Ovis aries: one gene and its partners. The protein of the gene in region 4 interacts with the protein of the main gene of each other region in a pairwise test. Links are inferred from orthologs where the notes say so. Each region holds a gene or a part of one and is shown on either strand. Other genes may lie near its edges. The genes, in order: TRIM27, MYL6, ATXN1, NUDT21, RBM48 and CEP126.

The links.
Region 1: the proteins of NUDT21 (region 4) and TRIM27 interact in binary tests that used the Homo sapiens proteins (3 or more experiments, as listed by UniProt). The two-hybrid records come from large-scale screens. The link is inferred for Ovis aries from reciprocal best matches to the Homo sapiens genes NUDT21 and TRIM27.
Region 2: the proteins of NUDT21 (region 4) and MYL6 interact in binary tests that used the Homo sapiens proteins (3 or more experiments, as listed by UniProt). The two-hybrid records come from large-scale screens. The link is inferred for Ovis aries from reciprocal best matches to the Homo sapiens genes NUDT21 and MYL6.
Region 3: the proteins of NUDT21 (region 4) and ATXN1 interact in binary tests that used the Homo sapiens proteins (3 or more experiments, as listed by UniProt). The link is inferred for Ovis aries from reciprocal best matches to the Homo sapiens genes NUDT21 and ATXN1.
Region 5: the proteins of NUDT21 (region 4) and RBM48 interact in a two-hybrid assay, tested with the Homo sapiens proteins (2 studies listed by BioGRID and IntAct). The link is inferred for Ovis aries from reciprocal best matches to the Homo sapiens genes NUDT21 and RBM48.
Region 6: the proteins of NUDT21 (region 4) and CEP126 interact in a two-hybrid assay, tested with the Homo sapiens proteins (2 studies listed by BioGRID and IntAct). The link is inferred for Ovis aries from reciprocal best matches to the Homo sapiens genes NUDT21 and CEP126.

The regions. Positions count from the first base shown.
Region 1 is NC_056073.1:29,117,412-29,121,547, forward strand, and holds the start of TRIM27 (zinc finger protein RFP), read left to right. Parts: upstream 1-1,336; 5' UTR 1,337-1,698; coding exon 1,699-2,118; intron 2,119-3,287; coding exon 3,288-3,383; intron 3,384-4,136. UniProt on the Homo sapiens protein: E3 ubiquitin-protein ligase that mediates ubiquitination of various substrates and thereby plays a role in diffent processes including proliferation, innate immunity, apoptosis, immune response or autophagy.
Region 2 is NC_056056.1:163,379,480-163,383,429, forward strand, and holds the start of MYL6 (myosin light polypeptide 6), read right to left. Parts: upstream 2,801-3,950; 5' UTR 2,762-2,800; coding exon 2,759-2,761; intron 2,489-2,758; coding exon 2,461-2,488; intron 1,597-2,460; coding exon 1,453-1,596; intron 1,253-1,452; coding exon 1,079-1,252; intron 988-1,078; coding exon 910-987; intron 606-909; coding exon 577-605; 3' UTR 1-576. Other genes in the region: MYL6B (myosin light chain 6B), read right to left, coding at 3,370-3,398, 3,553-3,630. UniProt on the Homo sapiens protein: Regulatory light chain of myosin. Does not bind calcium.
Region 3 is NC_056073.1:39,589,813-39,594,062, reverse strand, and holds the start of ATXN1 (ataxin-1), read right to left. Parts: upstream 2,801-4,250; 5' UTR 2,520-2,800; intron 330-2,519; 5' UTR 220-329; intron 1-219. UniProt on the Homo sapiens protein: Chromatin-binding factor that repress Notch signaling in the absence of Notch intracellular domain by acting as a CBF1 corepressor. Binds to the HEY promoter and might assist, along with NCOR2, RBPJ-mediated repression. Binds RNA in vitro.
Region 4 is NC_056067.1:23,688,617-23,692,116, forward strand, and holds part of NUDT21 (cleavage and polyadenylation specificity factor subunit 5), read left to right. Parts: intron 1-1,161; coding exon 1,162-1,362; intron 1,363-2,228; coding exon 2,229-2,292; intron 2,293-3,500. UniProt on the Homo sapiens protein: Component of the cleavage factor Im (CFIm) complex that functions as an activator of the pre-mRNA 3'-end cleavage and polyadenylation processing required for the maturation of pre-mRNA into functional mRNAs.
Region 5 is NC_056057.1:10,622,525-10,626,800, forward strand, and holds the start of RBM48 (RNA-binding protein 48), read left to right. Parts: upstream 1-1,476; 5' UTR 1,477-1,488; coding exon 1,489-1,599; intron 1,600-2,125; coding exon 2,126-2,316; intron 2,317-2,322; exon of another isoform or gene 2,323-3,020; coding exon of another isoform or gene 3,021-3,094; intron 3,095-3,795; coding exon 3,796-3,941; intron 3,942-4,276. Other genes in the region: peroxisomal ATPase PEX1, read right to left, coding at 1,004-1,129. UniProt on the Homo sapiens protein: As a component of the minor spliceosome, involved in the splicing of U12-type introns in pre-mRNAs.
Region 6 is NC_056068.1:6,579,997-6,584,270, reverse strand, and holds the start of CEP126 (centrosomal protein of 126 kDa), read left to right. Parts: upstream 1-1,474; 5' UTR 1,475-1,730; coding exon 1,731-1,858; intron 1,859-4,274. UniProt on the Homo sapiens protein: Participates in cytokinesis. Necessary for microtubules and mitotic spindle organization. Involved in primary cilium formation.

The DNA of each region.
Region 1 (4,136 bases), on a different chromosome or scaffold from region 4:
CTTACCAACTGAACAACTGTGATGAAGATAAGCAGTATGCATAGAATGTGACCCTGGAGTCATTAAGTTAATTTTTAGTCTAATAATCCAATAAATATTGAAATCCTTTCATATAATTACATACAAGGCATAACAGCAATCCAGGAGGTCTGGAGAGAAGTCTCTGTCCTCACAGAGTTACTGAAGTATCGGATCTGTTTCTTTGAAACATTGTGTAAATAGGTTAGAGAAAAAGAGTATAAACAAGGAAACTGGTGGAATAGGTCACATTCAACCAGTTACTAACTCATTTAAAAAAGATTTGTAAACTGACATTGTTGAAATCACTTAGTTCAAAATATAACAATGGAAATTAAAATAAACACAGGCAAGGCTGTCCAAATTCAATTAAGTTTAGAGGATGAAGGACAATATCGAGAAAATAGCAAAGGAAAACAGGAAACACCAAAGTAGGGATGGGCGAACAACGCAAAAATTTTGTAAGTTTGTTGGATAATGAAAACAGCCTGTGTTACTCACAGGATTATCATTCCCCCTATACTTCGGGAAGGAGCAGGCCTGTTTAGTTCTATTCAGTACAGCTCTAGGCACTAGGTGTTTTATTAATGAGCAAGCATGTTTAAGTTCTATTTAGTAGTTCTAGGCAGTGGGTATTTTATTATTTTAATGGTAAACCTCCTTAGGGTTAAAAAGTTGTACGGAGCTGGGGTATAATTACTCCCGTTTCACCAGACAGGAAACTGAAGCTCAGAATGGTAGACCACTTTGCTTAGGCACAGTAGGAAGTAGCAGAACTGGGCTTGCCTGTTTCTGTCACAGAAATGTTTTCATCTAATAATTAATCCTTTCTTTTACGAAACGCAACTGCGAGCGCCCGTCAATGGGGTTGTTTGATAAAGTTCCTCACAGACTGGGTGGGGCTGAGTCGGCTACTCCCAGCCCTCTGGCCTACCGGGGAAGCCAGATGTCTCTTCTTCCCACACCAACACAAAGCCAGCTTTCTCTCGCCGCGGCAGAGGCCTGAGCACCAGAGAAGAAACCCAACAAAAGACCCGGGATCCAGGCCCAAGGCCCAAGGCTCGGCGGGGGCGCCCGGAGCGTGCAGGCAGGGGTTATCCTGACCCCGCCGCACCCCGTGGACACCGCCTGCCTCTAGGACCCGTACCCAAGGAGCTTCCGCCCGCGCGTTCCGCCCCCGCCCTGGCGGCGAGGCCTCCCGGGTTCCCTGTGAAAGAATCCGTCCAGGCCTGAGGCCGCAATTTCCAGCCTCACGAAGGAGGTCCGGCCCAGGCCCCGCCCCCGGGCCGCCTCTTCCGCTCGCGCAGGGGTGGGGTCTGCGCGGCCGCTGGGATCGGCTCCGACGCGGCCACGTTGTCCTGCGCGTTTTGAGCGCCCGGCTCCGGGAGTCCGATCGGCGGCGATCTTGCTGTCCCTTCACATAGTCGCTGGGCTCGGTGGGGCCGCGGTACCCCCATACTCCCTCCGCCCGGCGCAGCGGCTCAGGGAGCGGCCCGGCCACCCGCCGTTCCAGCGCGCGGGCGCGTCTGGGATCGGCCCGGGAGGCGTCGCCCTCCGTCAGCCCGGCTGGCCTTTCCGCACCGCCCAGAAACAGCGGACGGGAGGGAGCGCAATCGAGTTGGGCTCCGCGCTGGGCTGGGCACCGGGGCCCATGCCCGTTCGCCCCCGCGGGCCCGCGCCATGGCCTCCGGGAGCGTGGCCGAGTGCTTACAGCAGGAGACCACTTGCCCCGTGTGCCTGCAGTACTTTGTGGAGCCCATGATGCTCGACTGCGGCCACAACATCTGTTGCGCCTGCCTCGCCCGCTGCTGGGGCGCGGCGGAGACCAATGTGTCGTGCCCGCAGTGCCGGGAGACCTTCCCGCAGCGGCACATGCGGCCCAACCGGCACCTGGCCAACGTGACCCAGCTGGTGAAGCAGTTGCGCACAGAGCGGCCGTCGGGGCCCGGAGGCGAGATGGGCGTGTGCGAGAAACACCGCGAGCCCCTGAAGCTGTACTGCGAGGAGGACCAGATGCCCATCTGCGTGGTGTGCGACCGCTCCCGCGAGCACCGCGGCCACAGCGTGCTTCCGCTCGAGGAGGCGGTGGAGGGCTTCAAGGTGAGGGCCGGGCGCGCGGGCCGGGGAGGGGCCGGAGCGCGAGTTGGACAAAGGGAGGAGAGAGCCAAAGGGGCTTCCTTTTTTCCGCCTAGAAAATGGCTGAGCCGGACGTGTGGTTCACAGCCGTCATTTCCTCTGTCCGCTCCAGAGCCTCGGCACTCAGATTTGGGAGGAAAACCTGTAGCTGGTGATGAAGCCAGAAGTCTCCCCACCCTCATTGCGTATGTGCCTCTGTGTTTACCCTCTCACGGGCACATTATACATGACGGCCCATGGAGACCCCTCTTGACTGTATATAAGATATCTGTAAAACCACGTACGCAGCGACAAGCTTCAGAGACGCTCGCATTCCTGTTGGCTCCTAGATGATCTCAGACAAAACACAGTCGGACGTTGCCCGGCTGTATTCACATCAAATAGATGCCCATCACCTCTCCTTTCCCCCAGCACTTCCCTGTGCTCCGTCCTCTTCTAGAACCTCCCGGAAAAGAACAAGTTTCTTACTGCCTAAGTCATTTAACCACTGTGCGACTCATAGGAGATAAGACTTAATGAAGACTGAGTGAAATAAAATGCTGTGTGGATTCCCTTGTGCACCAACAGATTTGTACAGCTCAACGATAGCATGGAAATAAAGTATTAAATATAAAATAGTTGTAAGACAACATTCAAGGTGTGCACATAATCTGTGTATGAGGACTGCAGAGAACATCCACACAATTATGTACATGTGTAAATGTGAGTATGTTCATGCAAAATTATTCACTGAACATTTATGGTGCTTTCAAAAATACCATTTTACTCACACCGAACACTATTAGGTTGAGAAGGTGGTGTTGGTTCATGTCACACCAAGGGAAAATAGGAGAAGTTAAGTCCTTTTCTCTCCTTACCTGTCCCTGAAAGCTCGACAACTAAAGCCTTCTAGTTTATTCACCTTTCCACTAAGCCATGCGGTATCCTTCCAAAGGCAGGTAGGTGACCCACCATTTAAGATACAAACTACCAAAGGAGAGGTGTGGTGCCACAGTGATGGCAGTGTGATCCAAGGACAGGCTCTCACCAAGAACTTGGCATCGTGAATGTGGGTTACACAGGTGATAAGCAGAAGAGTCACACTGCTAAGGCCTGCCTTATCTTGAGCTGTACATCTGTTTTTGCTTTTTCAGGAGCAAATCCAGAACCAGCTGGACCACCTAAAAAGAGTGAAAGACTTAAAGAAGAGGCGAAGGGCACAGGGAGAGCAGGCGCGAGCTGAACTCTTGGTGAGGTTCCTGAGAATTCGTAGATAATATCGGTTCTTCTGGTCACTCTCTTATATTGTAAGACTTGTAAACTTCCCTTAACCTTGTGCAGTCAGATCACCCAGAACTTATAGGTACGGGTGGAACAACCTTACATGGCAGTTAAGAATTCACCTGGAGAACCAAGGGATTCCCACATCTGGGGGGAAAAGGATGGAATAGTCAACTTTAAACCCTTGGAGATCTGACCTAGCAAAAGTTTAATCTGCTAGCTTTGTGCAGATCAGGGTTGATTCTGGTGAAATTCTTGAGCATTGGTTAGCAGCCTTTTGTATTGTTCTGCAGACAGATGCTGGCAGTGGCTTTCCATAAACTTGACTGTTGCTTCTTGTTGGAATGTTCTTTTTCTTGGCAATGATTCTATTCTGAACTTTTCTCTTTGTTCCCTTCTCCTAGTTTCCCAAGGCCTTTGTGGTAGGGATATTTGGGGGAGAGGGTGGTTGTTCTGGAAAAAATAGTCCCTTACCTTTCTGTAAAGGACTAGAGAGTAAATATTTTTGGCTTTGTGGCCTATACCTCTACCACAACCAGTCAGCTCCCTTGTCATAGCTCAAAAGCAGCTAAAGACACCATTTAAATGAGTGGATCTGTTTCCCAATAAACTTTTACTCCAAGGGAGTAAACACGGGAGTTTGCTGACCCTTTATTCTGAAATAAGCTTTTGTGGAGTCTCTCAGTGGGATAAGTGGTGGAGAAGGAAGGACAGATAACCTT
Region 2 (3,950 bases), on a different chromosome or scaffold from region 4:
CCTTGGGGTCAGTTTGCAGTACTCTCGACCCCCAGCTCCCCTCCCACCAGCTGTTAGTTCCCCCTGCCCCACCCCGAGCAGCAAGAACACAGCAGAGGCAGAAGAGTTCCCAACTACACCTACAGCTACTGTCAGCCACTGGGGGGAGGAGGAGACAGAGTTTTGGGTTAGGGTATCTCCAAGCTGCCCAGCGGAAAGAAGAGAAGACCTACAGCAGCACGGTGGGGCAGGCAACCCACCCTCCCTGCCAACCACGTGATCCTGAGCTAAAGGATCACCATGAAGCCAGACGGGGGTAGGTAGGCTGGTGTGAGTTCCCAGACACCAGCACCCTGGAAGCCAACCAAACCTCAGACCCAGTTCTAGGAGAGGAGGAGGTGCCACACCCCCAGGCTGTCTGCCTCTTTGAGGAACCCCTCCCCTCCCCAGTCAGCTCCATGCAGAGGCATGCCGGGAAGAAGTCAGATGGTAGTAGAGGAAGGCAGGGGCTAGAGAGCAGAGGCTGGGGAAAAAAACACTGGGGAGGTCAACTAGAGAAGGGGGGCTGGGAGGAGCCGTACCCGCCCCATGGGCCCGTCACCCCGACAGGATATGCCTCACAAACGCTGCAGGAAGGAAGAGACATTCATGGTGAAGACAAGACATAGACGTGGGGTGAAGGGGTCAGGCAGTGAGGAACTGGACATCCATTTTTACTTCCCATCCCTTTCCCACCCTTCAGGCCACAGGAGCCCTTCCTTTCCTGTCACACCCCTCTGGCCTCCCATTCCTGGGCGGGGCTGGGCCCTGCCCCTTGCCTCCTGTCACTTTTAGGAGCCTGAATCCAGGGACAGGGAAAGCCCTCAGTGCGGTGCATGACCTGCCCCCATATGGCTGCTTCCTCCGTGAGACCGCCGGTTCATCCCTCACCTTCATAGTTGATACAGCCATTGCTGTCCTCATGCCCTGCCACCAGCATCTCTACTTCTTCCTCTGTCATCTTCTCACCTGCAGAGAGGAAGGAAGAGCGAGCATTCTGGATTTGGGTGACACCGAGGTCTCTCAGGTGGCACCTCAAGAAGAAAGGGCAGAGCCTCACCCAGTGTGACGAGAACGTGCCGGATCTCAGCACCCATGACGGTGCCGTTCCCTTCCTTGTCAAACACCCGAAGGCCTTCAACATAGTCCTCATAGGTGCCCTGGTCCTTGTTCTTGGCCACAGTCTGCAGCATGGGTAGGAAGTGCTCAAAGTCCAGTACCTTCACGTTCATCTCTGCCGAAAAGGAGGTGGAAGCTAAGTCATATGTGTTCTCAGGACTGGGGGTTAAGGGGCTCCCACTCCAGGCAGGAGAAATCTGTGGGATTTGCCAGACAAGACCCGCTCGTGTTTGGGGCCTAGGAAGATAAAAGGAAGCTATTAGCTGAAGACTGCGGGCCCCACCACAGTGCAGAGTTGTTCTTAAGGACCCTCACCATCACTCTTGGGGTTCCCCAGGACTTTGAGCACCTCGGCGTTGGTGGGATTCTGGCCCAGGGCCCTCATCACGTCCCCACACTGACTGTACAGGATCTTGCCATCCCCCGTTCGGTCAAACAGCTGGAAGGCCTCCTTGAACTCTGAGGATCCAGATAAACATCAGTATGGGACACACAGATGTTAACCCAAACCCTCCTCCATGGTCCCCACCGCCCATTCAACTTTGATCATGCTGAGGAAATCAGATATTTATAACACTGTACACCCAACCCCTGTAAGAGGGATCCAGTGTCCCTTCCTCCCAACTCAGGTGTCTCACATAAAGACCTGGCCTTCCTCAACGCTTAGCAGAGTGGTTCCGGCCACTTACATACCCTCTCCGCCTGCAGCAAGCCTGCCCAGCCTCCTCATTACACGACTCAGGGCAGGAATTTGCCACCGCCCTGTCTGGGCCCTGTCCTTATAAGGAAGTGGGAGCAGCGGCCTGGGACTGGGGTCATCCCAGCCTGCCACTTCTCACCCCTCTAGTACAGGGTCCTTTCAGAGGGTACTGCTACAAAGAAGTATCCTCAGCAAACTCCCCTGTTGCACTTTCACAAAAAAACAGGTCACTGCTGTTTACAGCCTTTACAATTCCAAGCTGAGGGGACAGGGTAGTTACCACAGGAGGAAAAGAGGCAGAAGTAGCTGATTAAGGAACACAGGAGCACAAACAGCTTAATACACCGTCCCCAAGCCCCACACACAGCAGGCATTAGTGATCAAGTTGTTTCACACAGCCACATCACCTAAAACTCACCCAGTGCTTGGGGATCAGATCTAGAGTAGAAGGGAAGGGAGGAAGAAAGAGTGAGAAAAGAAAATGGAAGATCCAGAAGGAAGGAGAAGGGAACCCACCAGGTACTCCCCTGGGGGTGCTAAAGAGATGACAGGTGAGGGTGAAAGAGCTAGAGGGAGTGTCCCTCTCCCTAACATGACCTCAACAGAGGTCAGCGATTACCTACCTGCGGTCTGATCCTCGGTGAAGTCACACTGCTCAGAGAAGACGAGAGTGGTCAGCATCTTAACTCCAATACCCCCAGCTTCCGTCCCAGTCCCAAGAACTCTGAATCACAAACTCCTATTCCATGCTGGGGACTCGCTTCCCAGCAGGGTAGGATCCCAGACACTCCAACCCCACCTCCAACCTTCGAGGGCCTCAGGTTCATTTACCCGCTACTCTCTGCCTTCTCCCCGCCCCCTCTCCCCGGCTTCCCGCCTTTCGCCCCAAATCCCGCTCATCCTCTCGGCCCCGGGCCCCACCATCTTGACGCTCAGCTCTACGGGACCTTTTCCTGCAGTAATGGCTCCGGTTCCTGGCCCAACCCTAGTCTTAGTACGTCCTAATGACGTCACCCCAGCTGACCCAACCAATAGGGATCCTGGCCCGGGTTTATGCAGATGACGCTACTATATTAGTAATAAAGTGGGCGGGGGCCAACTGGTGTTCAAGTCTCCAGAATAGCCCTACCTGGGGCACAGAAACTGCAGAACAAGGTGGAATGGGGCGCAAGGAATCTGCTCCTCCGAGCAGCGAGAAAGTCAGAGGAGGTCGCATTGGTGGGTGCGGGTGGGAAGAGGAGCCCTCCCTTTCCCTCCCCCACCTCTAAAGAAAGCAAGAGTCGGAAGCTAAGGGAGGAAACGTCTCTTTATTTTGAAACAATAGCCTCCTAGTGGCAGGAACGTGCTTTTGCCTGGTGGGAGCCCAGCGTCCGACGCCACTGCACCTGTGGAAAAAGATGAACGTTGCCAAATCCTGCCGCTGTCGGCGCAGCAAGACACGGAAATGCACTTCCTTGCTTTTGTACGCAGGCAGAGGGACAAGAAGGAGGCTTGCCTCCCAAGGCGCAGTGAGAGTGCCGTACCTGCATTGCTCAGACGCTTAGGATGTGCTTCAGGAAGGCTGCAGAGAGAAGAGGCAAGAGGGGCTTCAGAAGCTGGCCTGATGATAACCCATCTGACTTTAGATAATTCAGGCTTCAGGATGCCTCCACCCACATACCTCGGGCCTCCTGCCTCCCTCTTCCCCAGTCGTTTCTGCTCCTCTGGCCCCTCACCTTCATAGTTGATGCAGCCACTGCTGTCCTCATGTCCTGCCAAAACAGACTCCACCTCCTCTTCAGTCATCCTCTCTCCTGGGCCCAGACACAGTGTTTTAGCCCCTGCCTTCCCTCCCTTATCAACCCATGCCTCTTTCTTCTGGTGGCACCTCCTCTTCTCCCACCCTGGAGACTTGCCCATAGTAACAGTCCCCCAAGAGAATTCCCTCTTTGTAGTGGGCATGCCTTGAATGTGTCTCTGAATCTTGCTTTCCATTTCACCTCAATTATAGGTGGTGAAAGCTTTGACAGACAAGGAAACTGAATTCCAGAGGATTAAAAAACAGACCATATCATAGAGTACAGCCATCTCTTCCTAAGACTGAAACTCAGATTTCCCACCTCGTTCCCTTTCC
Region 3 (4,250 bases), on a different chromosome or scaffold from region 4:
GCTGGTGGAAACACTGACAGTTCTTTAACCATGGTATTATAAGGAGAGTGGTAGCCTATATATATCATTTAAAAATCTGAGCAAACCATAGCGTGCTTACAAAACCAATATGCTTTCCTTAGACTGCACTTCCAAATAAAGCTGAGAGACCAGAAAAGTAAAATAAACTAAAAACAAAAGTGAAAACCACTCACACAATAGACTCTGAGGTCAACTCACCACACCCAAACTGAAGTCACTGGGCTCTGTCCTTGGCATGGAGACTCTTAAAAGACATGCTTCTGAATCAGCTTTCTTGACCCTCCACCAGACTGTAGCAGCACAGGCTTCTGGGTAATGAAAGTGACATCAGCAATGGTCAAGAGTGAAATTAAAATCATTGTGTTTAAACATCTGCTGACAGTTTATGACTTAATAGTACACATATTAGGCAATTTTAAATAAGATTCTGTCTACAGTGAAAACAAAAACAAGTGCTTTAGCATAGGTCTGTACTGTCCAATATGATTGTTAAGCACTTGAGATGGGCTGTAATTGTAAAATATACCTTGGATTTTAAAGACTTAGAACATGTACATACATGCACATATATACACATAAGTTCATATAGTATCTCAATGTTTATATTGATCAAATGTTAAAATGAAAATATTCTACATATATTAGGTTACATAAAAATATTGTTAAAATTAACTTACCTGTTTCTTTTTACATTTTAGTGTGCCTACTATAAGATTTACAATGACATGTGTCCATTATGCTTCTAATGCACAGCACTAGTAAAGTCAGTGGGGCTGGGGAGGTGCAGGAATTAGTTCTAAGAACCATAATTGGAGATCTTATTGCAGTAGTGTAGTAGGTGATTTGGTTACTTTTCTACCTTCCTGAGATTCCCCCCTTGCAGTGTATAACACTGCCCTTGAAAAGTGAGTGTTAGTCACTCAGTCATGTCTGACTCTTTGGGACCCCACGAACTGTAGCCTGCCAGGCTCCCCTGTCCATGGAATTCTCCAGGCAAGAATACTGGAGTGGGTTGCCATTCCCTTCTCCAGAGGATCTTCCTGACCCAGGGATTGAACCCAGGTCTCCTGCATTGTGGGCAGATTCTTTACCAACTGAGTCACCTGGGAAGCCCAACATGCACTTTACCCCTTATTAAAATATCTCTGAGAGTAAGCTGTTGGTAAAGGCATAATCCTGAGATATGCTAGGCTTAAAATTTGTTAGGCTTTATGTTAGACTAAAAATTTGTTAAGAGTCAGTCTCTCAGGGTGGGGTAGGGACAGGCTTCAGATACTTTGCCACCCTGGGAAGCTGATGGAAAACTCGTTCTGTGTTTTAGAAAGCACACGCTTTCTGGAGTGACAGCTGAATGGTTGAGGGTGACATCTTTTAATAAGAAATGGCTTTAGGCCATTTAGGTGTGGATAATGAAAAGTATACAGTTACTGCTTCCCTAGAAAACAAATCAAAGCCAAAAGGAAATCTGTGGGTTTTTTTTTAAACAATTTCTAATATATTTACTACAATAGCATATGTCAAAAGGAAATGAGATGAATTTTAACCATTACCATTTATTTTGCAAGCAAGACCTAGATACATTTTCATCAATATAACTATTATCAACATTGAATGTACTGCAGTGACTTATAAAATAACAGAATTTGTGGTTTTATGCATCTATAGAACATAGCTCTTCTTACATGAAATTGAACAACATTTTAAGGCTCAGAATGAGTGAGTTGAACTTTGCTCAGTATTGGCCAGGAGCATTTGGAAATCTATTAAAAACACGTCATTAACAACTTGGCATTTTGTTTCCTCAAAAGAAATACATTTTCCAAATTAAAACCAAAGCCCAAAGCCACCATTGTTTACACTTAAGATAGAGGCAGTTGATGGGTTGTGAAGGTAAAGCTTGTGGTGCCTTCAAACTAAGATCAGGGACAATGATAGCCATCAAATTGTTATTCTGACTTCAAGACATTAAAATACATAGCTATAAGCTCTCACCGTGCCTTTGTTTTTCTTGAGTCAGTTTTGGCTAGGAAAAGCTGATCCAAATGCAGGTCAGAGTTTAAGACAATTATTTTATGAGGAATTTACCAAGTTTACCCCAAAGAGGAAGAGCCAGAGAAAAATGCATTGGCAAACTTTGCCTTTTGACATAAACAACTAGAGGAAACTGTCCGTGTCAGGATTTCAGCAGGGTTTGTCAGGCAGTTTGTTATTTGCAGAAGCCCTGTGCTTCAGGGCCGCTCCAGAGTTTAACTGCTGGGTAACTTTGGGGAGCTCTCAAGACTGACCACTGAAGATCCAAATTTGCTTTGCGCCCTGGCACTGACATGGAGCGATTGCTCCTGCTATCCATGCTGACCGAGCAGACTAATAGCACTCAGACTTCAACTGTAAATTACAAACAATCCCTTTTTAAGTACAAAAATGAACGCACAGAATGGAGGACCCTGTCAGCTAGAATGCCAGTAAATCAAGCAGAAAAAGACAAACGGTTCACTTACACCACTTACAGCCAGATTCTTGTTCTGCTAGCCATACTGTCATGGGAGAACTTTTCTTTTTCTGTCAGATAAAAAGAGAAATTAATACCCCCATTGTAATTCTAATCAACATGCCAGCCATCAACGGAGGCATCTCCTCTGAAAGCCGATCAAGCTTCAAGGTGATGCTTCCCAACCCCTCCCCCTATCTCTGGTTTAAAACTTGTAGCTGAAATACCAATAGTAAGACCATGTGACCCCAGCACTCCCAGCGCCAGCTTTTCTGCAGTCAATTTCATAATGACTTCGCTCCGCCTCTCAGCTCAGCACTTCCTTCCCCCTCACTCCTCTCGCCCCCACCCCCAGCAATGAATCATCGCGCATTTAAAGAGACTTAGATGACCCAGCGTGAACTTTACTGGCATCCTGTACATTCTTATGCCAAAAAAGGGAGTTGCTCTGTGGCAGAAACCTCGCCAGATCCCAGTGCTGATCTGAGAGGCAGCGAGATTGGGAGCTTATCTAGGAAGATCAGTGAGGAGTTAATTTTCCTAGATCCTGGTGGTGATTCAGAATTGCCTATCTCAGTTCACGATCAGGTTTTTAAGAATCCAGTTGAGCTCTCTGTGCAGAAAGGAATATATCAGAGAAAAAAATGTTGGCACATCTCCTTTATGCAATCAGGGCAGAGGAATTTATACCACATCAGCCTTTTGATTTCTTCGGATCTGGCTGAGGGCGGGGTTTCCATATTTGTGCTTTGGCAAATGTGTCCAAGAACGAACTCCCCCTTAGAGATGCTCCTAGTGTTCTTTCAGGTTACTGTGAGCTGATTTGTGCATTTATCAAAACCAGAAACATCTCTGCCCCTTCCTTTCTTTAATACCATTTCTTAGTAACAGAGATTAAGCAGACAATCTGGGCCTTCCTTACAGAGACTCTTCACCCTACTTAAGGCATAAAGGGTGGATCGCCTAAATAACATTGTGCTTTTCCATATACTTTCTCCCTACCTGGGAAGCCCTTCTTTGCAGGGCAATTTTTATTCCCATCCTCCAGGATCCAACCCAAGCACCAACATTTCTGCGAAGTCTTTCCTGATTATCACAGGAGTTTGTGGTTCTGCCCAATGTGTGAGTCAGCGAAGTGCTATTTTCTTATTCTTTTTATTTATACAATTTTTTTTTAACTCTGACAGAAAAGAAAAAAATCAGGGCCGTAAGCACAGATGGAAAGAGTCTCCTAAATGAGAGCGTCTCTTATCTAATATTTCCTGTTACTCCCAAACCCGTCTGACCTCCACTTACAATTTCACATGTCACTGTTTTCCTTTTATCGCTCCGTTTATGTGGCACCCCTCACTAGTCAGTTCTCCGTGAGAGTTCCCATTGTTGTGGGTTGAATTTTGTTCCCGGAGAGATACATCTAGTCCCCAGTGCAGGGAGTATGGCTTTATTTGGAAATAGAGTCTCTCCACATAGATGGCGCTAGTGATTAAAAAAAAAAAAAAACCCCACCTACAATGCAGAAGACACCAGAGACGCTGGTTCAACCCTCCCTGGGTTGGGAAGATCTGCTGGAGGAGGGTATGGCAACCCACTCCAGTATTCTTGCCTGGAGAATCCCATGGACAGAGGAGTCCATAGGGTCCCAAAGAGTCAGGCACGACTGAAGTGATTTAGCATGCACAGATGTAATTAGTTGAGATAAAGTCTTAATGGATTAGGGTGGACCCTATGTCCAGTATGACTA
Region 4 (3,500 bases):
CATTCTTACCCAAAGATTTATAATCAAAGGCTGCTTTCTGTAAGTCTTATGATCAAAGGGTTACAAGGTGATACCTGTGATGAAATAAGAGTTTTTAAACTATTTTTAAGGAAAAAATATTTACTAGGCAAGAAGAAAACTTTTCAATATGTTATATTTTGAATACTTGATAAAAAAGTAGAGAATGTTTATATTACACCTAGTCAGCAAAAGATTCAAATGAAGAGAAGGGAAGAATAAAGATACTGAATAGAAGAAATGCAGAAGGCTCAACATCTTAGAAGGGAAAGAAAAGTTCATCTGAAGAAGAAAGTTACCAGAAAACTCTGATGATAGTTGACTGGGACAAATAGAAAATAACTGGGGAGATTATGGAAAGTGGTGGCTCAGTTTGTAGAAAAAAACATCAGCCATTAGCACCCATAATTAATAGAATTTATGATTAGATTGGTAGAGGAGCCCAAGGGCACATTAGCCAGGTTGACAGTGTTAGCATCTAAAACTAGAGGATTGCCAGTTATTCAGATAGCCACTACTCTGTGCATTAAGAGCTTTAAGGATATTGTCATCTATACTTGACCTGAGCTGGTGGCTCAGACGGTAAAGCGTCTGTCTACAATGCGGGAGACCCGGGTTCGAGCCCTGGGTTGGGAAGATCCCCTGGAGAAGGAAATGGCAATCCACTCCAGTAGTATTGCCTGGAAAATCCCATGGACAGAGGATCCTGGTAGGCTACAGTCTATGGGGTCGCAAAGAGTCGAACACGACTTCACTTCCCTTCACTTCACTTCATCTATACTTGACAGTTCAAGTAGGAAGTAACAGCTTGAGCTAATGAAAGTTCTGGTTTTAGAGGCCAGAGAGCTAGATTCTAATCTCTGCTGCTGCTGCTGAGTCACTTCAGCGTGTCTGACTGTGCAACCCCAGAGATGGCAGCCCATCAGGCTCCCCCCGTCCCTGGGATTCTCCAGGCAAGAACACTGGAGTGGGTTGCCATTTCCTTCTCTGCTCTCTTATTAACTAGTTGTTTAACTTTGTTCAAATTCTTTGTCTCTAAGTGCAATATATATACACTTTTTACCAAGGTTTCTTTTATGTGATTGGTGTCTGTCCTACTAATTTGTGGTCTACAGTTCTCAGATGTCTGTCTTTGGATCACAGGTACCCTCTTACCAATTACACTTTTGGTACAAAAGAGCCTCTCTATGAGAAGGACAGCTCTGTTGCAGCCAGATTTCAGCGCATGAGGGAGGAATTTGATAAAATTGGCATGAGGAGGACTGTAGAAGGTGTTTTGATTGTCCATGAGCACCGGCTACCCCATGTGTTACTGCTACAGCTGGGAACAACGTTCTTCAAATTGTAAGTGTCATTGGAAACGAACAACTTTTAATAGGATGGCTGTTTTATGCAGCTTTAATACAGCTTTAGCTTTTAGCCATTTGTCTCAACAAACATGGCTGTTACTGGAGTCTTGGAAGAGAAACTCAAAAGCATTTTTTTTCTCCATTGCAGTGTTCATTTATGAACACTGTGGTCTAACTAGAATGGTCTAACTAGAAATCTGCATGTTTCTCTGTATTGTTGATGCTAATGACTGGGCTTGAGAGAAGCCCTATGAAACAAACGAGTCCAAGTTCAATTTCTAGACGTCTTTGAAGCATTACTGAGAACAATTGATATTATTTCTTGCTTAGGATCAATAGTGTTTCCTGTTCTTAAAATGCTTTACATTTTTATAGATTGTTTAGTTTTCTCATTTACATTTATAAATCTCTCGGTATGTTTAGTCCACAACTGTTTGACTAGATTGTACCAAAAAGAGTGTTCTCAAATACTTAGTTTGGAATTCTTAAAAAATGCTGCATTCTTCTGATCTAGAGAATGTGGGTCCACTGCTTTCTCAGCATTTCTAGACTCCATTATCACTAGATAACTTCCAAAGAGAAAAAATTGGGATGTACTGGTTTCCAGCAACTATGTGATGTTTATGTTCTGGTACATATTTTAAGACTAGGGTTTGTCTACTGTGAAACTCATGAATGGACATGAATTCCGTTTTCTAGCACATTCTTCCCCCTCCATTTGACATTTGTTTGCTTTAATTGCCTTATGTAACACCGAAATGTGTTACGAAGCTACTTGATAGAAATAGTAATTATTGTGTTTTTCCTGTTAACCAAAATTGTTAATACAAGTTGAAAGCTGAAATTTTAACCTTTATACAGGCCTGGTGGTGAGCTTAATCCAGGAGAAGATGAAGTTGAAGGACTAAAGCGCTTAATGACAGAGGTATTTTTCTGTTTAACCACTTTGATGATTTCATTAATGCTCATCTAAATACCGTCAACTTAATGCATAGTCAGATTTTTGTATGCCTTGAAAAGGATGAGTTTATTTTAAATATTTAGTTTTCTATAAATAAAACATAAATTCGGAGTGTTAGTACAATGTTTATTTTCTGTAAGTTGAACTTATACTTTGTCATAGCATTATTTTCCATTGAAATAGTTGATGTAGCAATAATGGTTAATAAAACAACATTTACTGAGTATTGACTGTTAAGCAATGTTCTAAGTGCTTTACATGTAATAATTTATTTAAACATCATAATAGTATTAGGAAGTGGGTGCTATTAATCCTGTTTTACTGATAAATTAGGGCACAAAAAGTGCAAGTAGCTTCCTTGATGTTTTACAGCTAGTGTGTGGTGAAGCTGGAGATTTGAATGCAGGTAATTTTATTCCAGAGTAGGTGTTGGAATTTTGACAGGAGAATGATTCCTGTTACATACCTATTTTCATTTTTGCACATACCTTTTAGGCTTTGCCCAGGTTGTTACTTTTTAGAAGCTCTTCTAATGTCTGTCTCTAAAGACTTGGGGCCAGATGCATATAGATGCTGGAGGTTTTTGAGATTGTAGGCTGTTTCATTAATAAATAGTTTTCTTTCTTAGCATGCAACCCCCGTTAGTTACAAAACTCGTACATATTCTGTGCAAAATCCTTGGCAAATACAGAAAGGAGACAAAACTAAAACCTGTATTTCTTCCACTTTGACTTGTTTTTTAGTATTTCTAAAATGCAGTGTTAGTCTTAAATATTCTGCTGTGTTTGAACTTTCATTTATATACGATAGATTGAATCTACCTCAGCTTATATACGATAGATTGAACTTACCTCAGCTTTTTCTTATAACTCCACCAAAAAACATTAAAGGGGTTTTAGAAAGATAAAAGTCCAGTAAGTTGATGGAATGTAAAATGAGACTGTAACAAGGAAAAAGTGTTTGAAGGTAGAAAGCAGATGAGCGAATCATAATTGACTTAGCCAAAACCTCAGCCTCCCAGAAGGGCAGTCAAGGACCCAGCACTCTAGAACATCAGAAAAGCTTAGGAATTGGGGGTACTTGTGAAAGAGGGGGTGTGCATGGACTGAAAGCTGAATTGACTGGCAGTGTGCATAGGATTATTGATGTACCTAGATCATCTTCCCTACTTT
Region 5 (4,276 bases), on a different chromosome or scaffold from region 4:
TTACATCCCTTACATTAGCCAGAGGATTCTTTACCACTAGCTGTCACCTGGGAAGCTCCAAGAGACTCTCTATAGTAAAAGCAACAATGGCAGGATCTATTGAAATTAACATGCTTTGAAAGACTGGGGAAAAACAATCTAGAAAAGTAGTTAAAGGCAAGTAGCTAAAATGGAGAGGTGGGATATTTAAAATTATTGCAAACTCCTAAATATTTCCTGCAAGGATTAGCCCGTAGTGGGTACTGTGCATCCAGGATTTTCAAAGATTTCAAGTATTCTTTTTGTCCTCATAGCACACTCAAACTGGTAGACCAGGTGCCCCTATTTTATAATTACGAAACTAGGGATGTGGTTAGAACTATGAACTACCACAATCACAATGTCCAGAGGGCAACTAACTGCAGAGGTCCAAGTATGCATAATCCCACTGCACGTTCCGGGCACACCTAGGAGGTATTCCGAGCAGCGGAGACGCAGCGAGAACCTTCATCTTATTAACCTATCTCGCTCGCGGCTCAGTCTCTATTAATTTACAGGGACTCCTGGGCCACAGCCAGGCAGGCGCACCTGGAAACCACTGGCAGGAAAAACGTTTTTTACGATCGAAACAAAACAAAATCCGCAGACAAACCCGACTTCTCCAAAGCTTTTCCAACCTGGAGTGAGGAATAGCTGAACTCAGAGAGAAAATTATCAGGATGTTTGAGAGCCCAGTTTCACCGAGTGAAGACCTGGAATACGTACGGCAAGTTAACGCAAAGGCCCGGGGCTGCACCCGACGTGGTAGGGCTGCAAAGACCGCCCGGACCGGCCCTGCTCCAGAGCGGCCCACGTTCTGGCTGATGAACAGGTCGGCGGCGCGGGGAGAGCAGCCCGCGTCCCGCCGTCGGGAGACGCCCGAGCGGCCGCTGCGTCCCGAAAAGGCCTGGGTCCCGGGCGGCCGCAGACGGCCCCCGAGGAGTCCCGAGTCCGGGCTGGGGAGTCCATGGGGCGGGCGCGTTACCTGGAGCAAGTGCAGCTGGGCCACTAGGCGCCGCGGCAAGTGAAGGAAGCAGTCGCGCGTGCTGGTGAAGGCCACGGTCACGGCCGCCCCGCCAGCAGCACCCGCCAGCCGACCGCTGCCCCACATCCTCCGCCAGCGACGGCCCCGCCGGAGGCCCACCCCAGCGGACCCGGGCTGCCTGCGGACCGAGGGTGACCGGGCCTGCTACGCTCGATCGGCCCCGCCCCCAGGCCCCGCCCCTCGCGCCCGCCGCGCCTCGGGAGCTGGAGCGGCAGGCCAGCCCAGTCCGGCTCGCCGGGCCTCTCCGCCGCGCCGCTGGAGGGCGGCAGCTCGCTCGCCGCCTACTTGCTCACAGGAAACGATGGCCAACCCTGTGGCTCCTTCAGCCAATCTCGGCGCGCCTTGACCCATCCCTCTCTCTGATTGGGTAATCAGGAGGGCAACAGGCGGATGTTGTCGTCTCTGCGAGGGCCAAAGCCGGCAAGATGGCGTCCAGTGGAGGGCAAGTTGGGGGCGTATTCGATCACCACGTCCAAAGGGCTGTGTGTGACTCGAGAGCCAAGTATCGGGAGGGCCGACGGCCTCGCGCTGTGAAGGTAAAGTGATTTTGGTTTCATTCGTTGTCGTCGGTAGCTTTATGTAAGCTGTAGCTTCACACGCCCAGTTAATGTAAATAAAGTCTTGAAAGGCTGCGGTCACATCCATTTGCTGGAGATGAGTGTGAGGGACGCCGGTACCCAGGTAGCAGATACTCTCGCGGCCTCTTTAGTCAACTGTTGGAGCTCCGTGAAAACGGGGTATGTGTTTTAGTCGTATCTTCCGTGTTTACAGTAGTGAATATTTAACTCTTTCCTGTAACATTTACCGAGGCAGCTTCTGAAGACATGTCGATTGGAGGTAGTCTATTATGTGCTTTAGCTCGAAGCCCTCACATGTAGGGTGACTTATTGTTTCTACAAAGAGAAGGGCAGATTAAAAACAAAAACAAAAACACCTTTTCTGCAGACCTGAACAGAGTAGTTCTTGTTTTCAGGGTTTTTGTTTGTTTGTTTGTTTTGAATAGTAACAGGTTGTCCTAGGCTTGTTTGTGAAACACATTTAATGCGTGTGCATTTCTTTTAGGTCTATACAATCAATTTGGAGTCTTGGTACTTATTAATACAAGGAGTTCCTGCCGTGGGAGCAATGAAGGAATTAGTTGAGCGATTTGCTCTATATGGTGCAATTGAACAGTATAATGCTCTAGATGAATACCCAGCAGAAGACTTTACAGAAGTTTATCTTATTAAATTTCTCAATTTACAAAGCGCAAGGTAATATACAAGTCAGGCAGTGTCTCATTTCCTCTGTTCCCATTGCTATCATTTTGGCCTCCCTCATTCTTTCATGAATTACTCAGTAATCTAACATGGCTTTTTATTTTTCTCCAGTATTCTTAATGTAAGTGTTAGCTTTATCAAAAGTCTGTCCATTAGGTCATCCCCATGTGTAACCATTTTCTGTCTTGTAGTGTGGTAGATTAAAAACTGGGTTTGGACTAAGTTTTCAGGTTCCACTGCTTACTAACATGATGACCTTGGACAAGTTATTTAATCCCATTAAACCTGTTTTCCTGTCCTATAAAATGTGTAAGGATGAAATGAGATAATCCATGTAGAGGGCTTAGCAGATGCCTCCTGCTCAGAATGCGGTAAACAACATTAGCTGTTAGGTTTCTTGTTATGCACCTATATGAATTGACCCCATCTTTTTTTTTTTTTCTTCTGAATAGCATAAATCCTCTGCTGTAGTAAGGGAAATATGAAATGCCTCATCTTATATTCTTGTCACTAATTTGCTTCAAGACCCATCCCTTCCCTGGCTATTACAATTCACATTTTCTGTGCTACAAACAGTACTGGGGTATATGGGTCATATATTGTTCTCCAGTTGCTCTTATGTATAATCTCACTGCCCTAACCAACTTGCCAGCTCCTCATGGTTAGGGAAGTATATTTCCTTATTGTGTATTCATTCCATGAAGCTTTTGCATCTCCCACACCCCTTTTACAGTGTGACATGTGGATTTGAATCCTGGCTCCACAAACCAAGGTGAGCTTGGACAAATAATCTCCCCATGCCTCAGAGTCATCATAGGGATGTTGAGAAGTGTGATTTCAAGTGAAGCATTTAGGCCACTGCCTGGCACATGGTAAAATCTCAGTGAATATTTCTTACCATTTACCTTGGACACAGAAGTACTTAATTTCGTAGTAATTCCTGGCCAGTCATAGATGTTTAGTAAGTATACATTAAATGAATACTATCCTCTCCTTTTCTCATTTACTGTTATATATTTGTGTTTTCTCCATTATTAAATGTTTATAATTGTAATATTTTTATTAATTTCTTATCTTTGAACCCCATTATAGGAACACATTGTGCTAAAAAGGCTAAGCTGGGCATGAGCTAATTTTTGAGGGCCTTTTAACACAGAATCTCTATTTCATGACCACAGATTGTGTACCTCAGGCCAACCAGCTGAATCTTATGTTGGTTAAAGGGAGTCTGGATATGTTTGGAAAACTTAGCTTAAAACCTATGAAGACTCTTGGGAGAGGGGGAAAAAGGCTCTGAAAGAATATGCAGTGGATCAGTAGGGTCAATACCATTCACGTGCAGAGCATCGCAGCTCCGAAGCTATAGGATTTATGTATACAACAAAGTCTGGACTTTGCTTTTTAGATCAATGCATTGTATGCTGGTTAAGCTTTCACCCTAAGTAAACCATGGTATCGTGAATTTCTGCTTAGGATGGCCAAGAGAAAAATGGATGAGCAGAGTTTCTTTGGTGGCTTGCTTCATGTGTGCTATGCTCCAGAATTTGAAACAGTTGAAGAAACCAGAAAGAAATTACAAGAGAGGAATGCTTATGTAGCAAGAATGACTAAAAATAAAGGTATGTAAAGCCTACTACTAAACACCTCCAATGTGTCAGGCATTTTGCTGAGTTTACCCTCCTAGAGTTTTCCCAGTCTAGTGACTATAAGCTACGAAGTTTTTTCTTTACAGAATGTTATGTAATCTTGCCTGGGAAGGGATAGATGTTATTTCATGGAAGATTCCTGCAGGATGAGAATGGTGGCTGAGTTCTGAAGGGAAAGTAGACATTACCCAGAAAGGGAGAGGAACAGATGGAAAGATGGGCCAGAGGAATAAATGAGCGTCATGCATTTTAAGGAACTGTGAGTAATATAACCACAACACAGCAGCTGACATGTGAATCTGAGATAA
Region 6 (4,274 bases), on a different chromosome or scaffold from region 4:
CTGACTCTTTGCTACCCTATGGGCTGTAGCCCACCAAGCTCCTCTGTCCATGAGATTTCCCAGGCAAGAATACTGGAGTGGGTTGCATGCCCTCCTCCAGGGGATCTTCCCTACCCACATATCCTAAGGCTGCTGCATTCCAGGTGGATTCTTTACCACTGAGCCACCAGGGAAGACTGCCCTACATTGCTTTTTCTCTCTCAAATTGGCTCTAGAGAAACAGACTTGTGATGATAGCCAGTGGGAATAGAATCAATGTAAATTCCTGTGACTAAGTCAGTTAAAAATTTGCAAAGATAGCTAATCCTCCTAGTGTACACAGTTAGCCTTTCTTTGCCAAGATTACATATTGTGTCCTCTTGGCATGGTCCTGAAGAGGGCTACGTGCTCTGTGTTTTAAGTAAAAACTCAATTTGTTGTGGCAGTTTTAATCAGAATACATTCCAGTTTGAATCATTGCATCCAACTTTGCAAAAACTCTGTTTTAAATAGCTTCAACTGGAAAAGTTTATTATTTTGAACTCTAAAAATGAACAAATTGATTCACAAAGGCATAGGCATTTGAATGGTGGTGAGTGATTTTCATTTGGTTTATACATTCTGCTTCCAATATGGGAGGTTTTTCCACACACACATTAAAAAAAACGCTAAAATATACTCAGAATTCACATGTGTTTTTACAATGAATTCCAACAAAAAGTTCAGCCTTTTTTCAAATTTTTTTAACTTGCAAAAGTTCTGAACTGATGGCTCAAAAATCCATTCGATTTTCCATACCTCCTGAAACAGTTTCAATATGATGATCTCTTTTGGCATGTCTTCCCAGGAGATTACTAAATTAAATCTGCACTACTTTCCTGGCCGCCGATGCTTTGATGGTCTATTTCCAGAATCTGGCAACAAGGCTGGCACCATTAAAAGTCTTTGAAATGCAGACCTTATAAGTAGGGAAATGGCAAGGAAGACGACTTGCAGACGGAATGGCAGAAGCATCAGGGAGGGAGAGATGGAATGCAGAGAAAGGAAATTTCCACTCCCAAAGCTTTTTAAAAAAGATGGTGATTGGGAACAGTGATGCTCCAGAAAGACAGAACTTCAATCACACAACAGCACTCGGCAGTTAAACAACAAATTCTACCCTGAATTACCCCCGGAGGAAATAATTTCAGAATCCCCACGGTGGCTTTGCGAATATCTGTGGATTTTTGCATCTCGCTGTCTTTCATCACTCTTAGTAACCCCACGAAAACAGCCTCATAAAAGCGAGGTGGAACGGAGTCAGGTTCCGAGGCACAAGTCAGCACGTCCTCCTGAGAGGACTTGTGTCCCCGAGGAGGCAAGCTTCCTGGCCGCCGCCCGCGGGCAACTCGGGGGTTGGGGGGCGGGAGGCGGGGCACAGGGGAGAGGTCCGCGCCTCCTATTGGCTGCCTCCAGGGCACCGCCCCCAAACCCTGGTCGCCGTCGCGAAGGACGCGGCGTCGGTTGCTTGTCAACATGGCGGCGGCGTCGCCACCTCTGCCGTTTCCAGGCAAGGTCGCCGCTGCGGCAGCTGCCGTCGACACCACAGCCGAGAGCGCCGCTGTGCGGGAACCGGAGCTGCGGCGGCCAACTTTCCCGCCTCAGTGACGCGAGGCTTGAGAGACGGAGTGCTGGGAGGGCCGAAGGAGGCAGCGGGAGCTGCCATGAGGGAGGCTCTGGGGGCTAGCCGGGAGGCGGCGCTGAGGTGAAGGATGCTGACCAGGAGGCCTGGAGCCCGGAGCGCGGTGCCAGGACTGGGCGCTGAATCCTCGGACACCCACGTCAAAGCCCCCCTCAGCCCTCGCTTGAGCGGCGGGCGTCACCGACCTGGCGCCTACCTGTATCCTTCCAGCCGTGGTTGCCTGGGTGGCGGTGTTGGAAGTGGGGAACCCGATCTTTTTTCTGTTCTGTTCCCATTATCACAGATGCTAGATGAGAGAAACCGGCCAGTCATCTTAATGCGGGTATTTGCTTCGGCAACTGTCGCTGCTCCCCTTAAACCTGAAAATACCATCTTCTATTCTAGGACCACTTTCCCGGCCACCTTGTTATCTCCCCCGTTTTCAACTTTGCAGTAAAAAAAAAGAAAAAAAATTTTAATGAGTTTTGAAATGGGTAAACGTGTTCTCTGGGGATTGTTTTCTTGTAGAGTTAGGCCATTATGTTCTTTGCTTCATATTATCCATCTCCTGATAATTCATGCTGCTTGGAGAAAAGAATGCCGCAAGTAAATAAAATGTTTTGGTCTCCTGAAATAGTCCGTCTTAACAGTTAACCTAACACTTCATTTATCTTACAGAGCTGCTAAAGCCTAACATATTTGGTTAATTTGTTTTGTTTTCCATCCTCTGCCCAGTCTGTTGTCAGAGAGACAACAGACAGAAAATGAGAAGCAAAGGACCTGGAGCCTTTGCACAGGTTTATCACTGACTTGTCCCTACCTAAGAATTGGTCTAGCCCACCTTTGACATTATTATTGGTTGCATTGTAGAAAATTGAAAGTGTTATACAGTTCTGTTTTCCGAATATGTAAACCATGTTTATTCCTTCAGAGAGTGTTATGACAATTAGAGTGTAACCTTTGTATTCTCAGAGGACTTGGTTGGTAGTGGTGATGCTGTGTAATCATCTTCATTCTTGTCAGAGAGTCTCTGCTTTTCAAATTAATTCCCACTTTCTTATTGTCTCCCAGTTCTGGGAGTTGCACTTTTAAAAGCAAGTCAACAAGCAATTTTCATTTAGTGCCTCCTTTTTTGGCTAGGTGCTTGGGATACAACTCTAGTGAGGAAGACAGGTACATACAAAGCTTAAATAATGGTAAATATTCCTCTTCTGATCATGCTTCCTCAAGCTTGTATCCCATCTTTTCTTGCTTTAGTTGACTTTTCAGAATGCTAACCTGCAATGACAGCTTCTAATTCTTTTCATCTATTCATTATTAACTCCATTCACTTTGGCTTTTGGCCTTGCCGCTCCTCAAAACTATCCTGATTCAAGGTGTAATCTGAAATCAACCGGATTGTTTTCAGTATGGATTTGATTCTGCCCCATTGACATTGTGTTTACTTGAACCCTGAACTCCTATTACACTGACCCTGATTTATCTGTAAATCAGAAAATAGGGAAGCACTGTAAGTGGCTCATTGACAAGGTGTATCTTTCCATCATTTTCATTAGTGAAATGATCATAGACTTAATATTTTTAAATTTTTAAGGTGTGAATGTTGATACAACAAAGGAAATAGTTGTAAAATAAATTTGGCAGTACCTCAAATGAACAAAACCAAATAGATATAATTCCAGAATTATAATGTTGGTTTCCTATAAAGAAATGTATTACTAAAAATTTACCTAAATACTAAATATATAGTTAAAACTAAGAAAGTTGTAAATAATCATTTCAATAGATACCCTGAGCCTTTGCTAAAATCCAACAACTTTTGCTAGTGTATGTGTGTGTATGCATCTATATGTATTATATATAATATACATTTTTTCCTAGTTTATACATGTATGAAAGTGAAAGTGAAGTCGCTCAGTGGTGTCCGACTCTTTGCGACGCTGGGGGCTGTAGCCTGCCAGGCTTCTCAGTCCATGGGATTTTCCAGGCAAGAGTACTGGAGTGGGTTGCCATTTCCTTCTCCAGGGGATCTTCCCGACCCCGGGATCGAACCTGGATCTATATAGTTGCCAGTAAATCAAGAATATCATTGTTACTAGTTGGAGAAACACTTAAGCGCTTGTGTCATATTGTACGTTTTCAGTGTCTGTAATGTTTCATATTGGATACCTGGTACAGAGTAGGTGTGCAAATTTATTAATAACTAAATTTTAAAAAATGAGCTGTGGACTTAAAATAAGAAGTGGCTTGGTAAAATTTCTACATGTGACTTCTGAATATGAATTCAGTACTCAGAGGCTGTATTTCTCTACTCGAATTGGAATTTCCTAACTCTAAAAGCTATGGAAGAACAAAACTTCATGAAGTTTATCTAATTAAAATTAGATGAAGTTCTATAATTTCAACTTCTTAAAACAATTCAAAAGAAAATAGAATAAAATTTATTTTCAAAAAAAGGAGGGAAGTTCTCTCATGTCCCCTTCACAGTATGCCTCCTTTTTTCTCACAAGTATCTCCAGTCTTTTCCCCTTCCATTTTATCCTAGCGTCCACCTTGCCTCTCTTTATTCCCTACCCAGTTTAAACCTGTTTTTAATTATCTACACATATTCTCTCAACAACATCCTTGGTTTTTT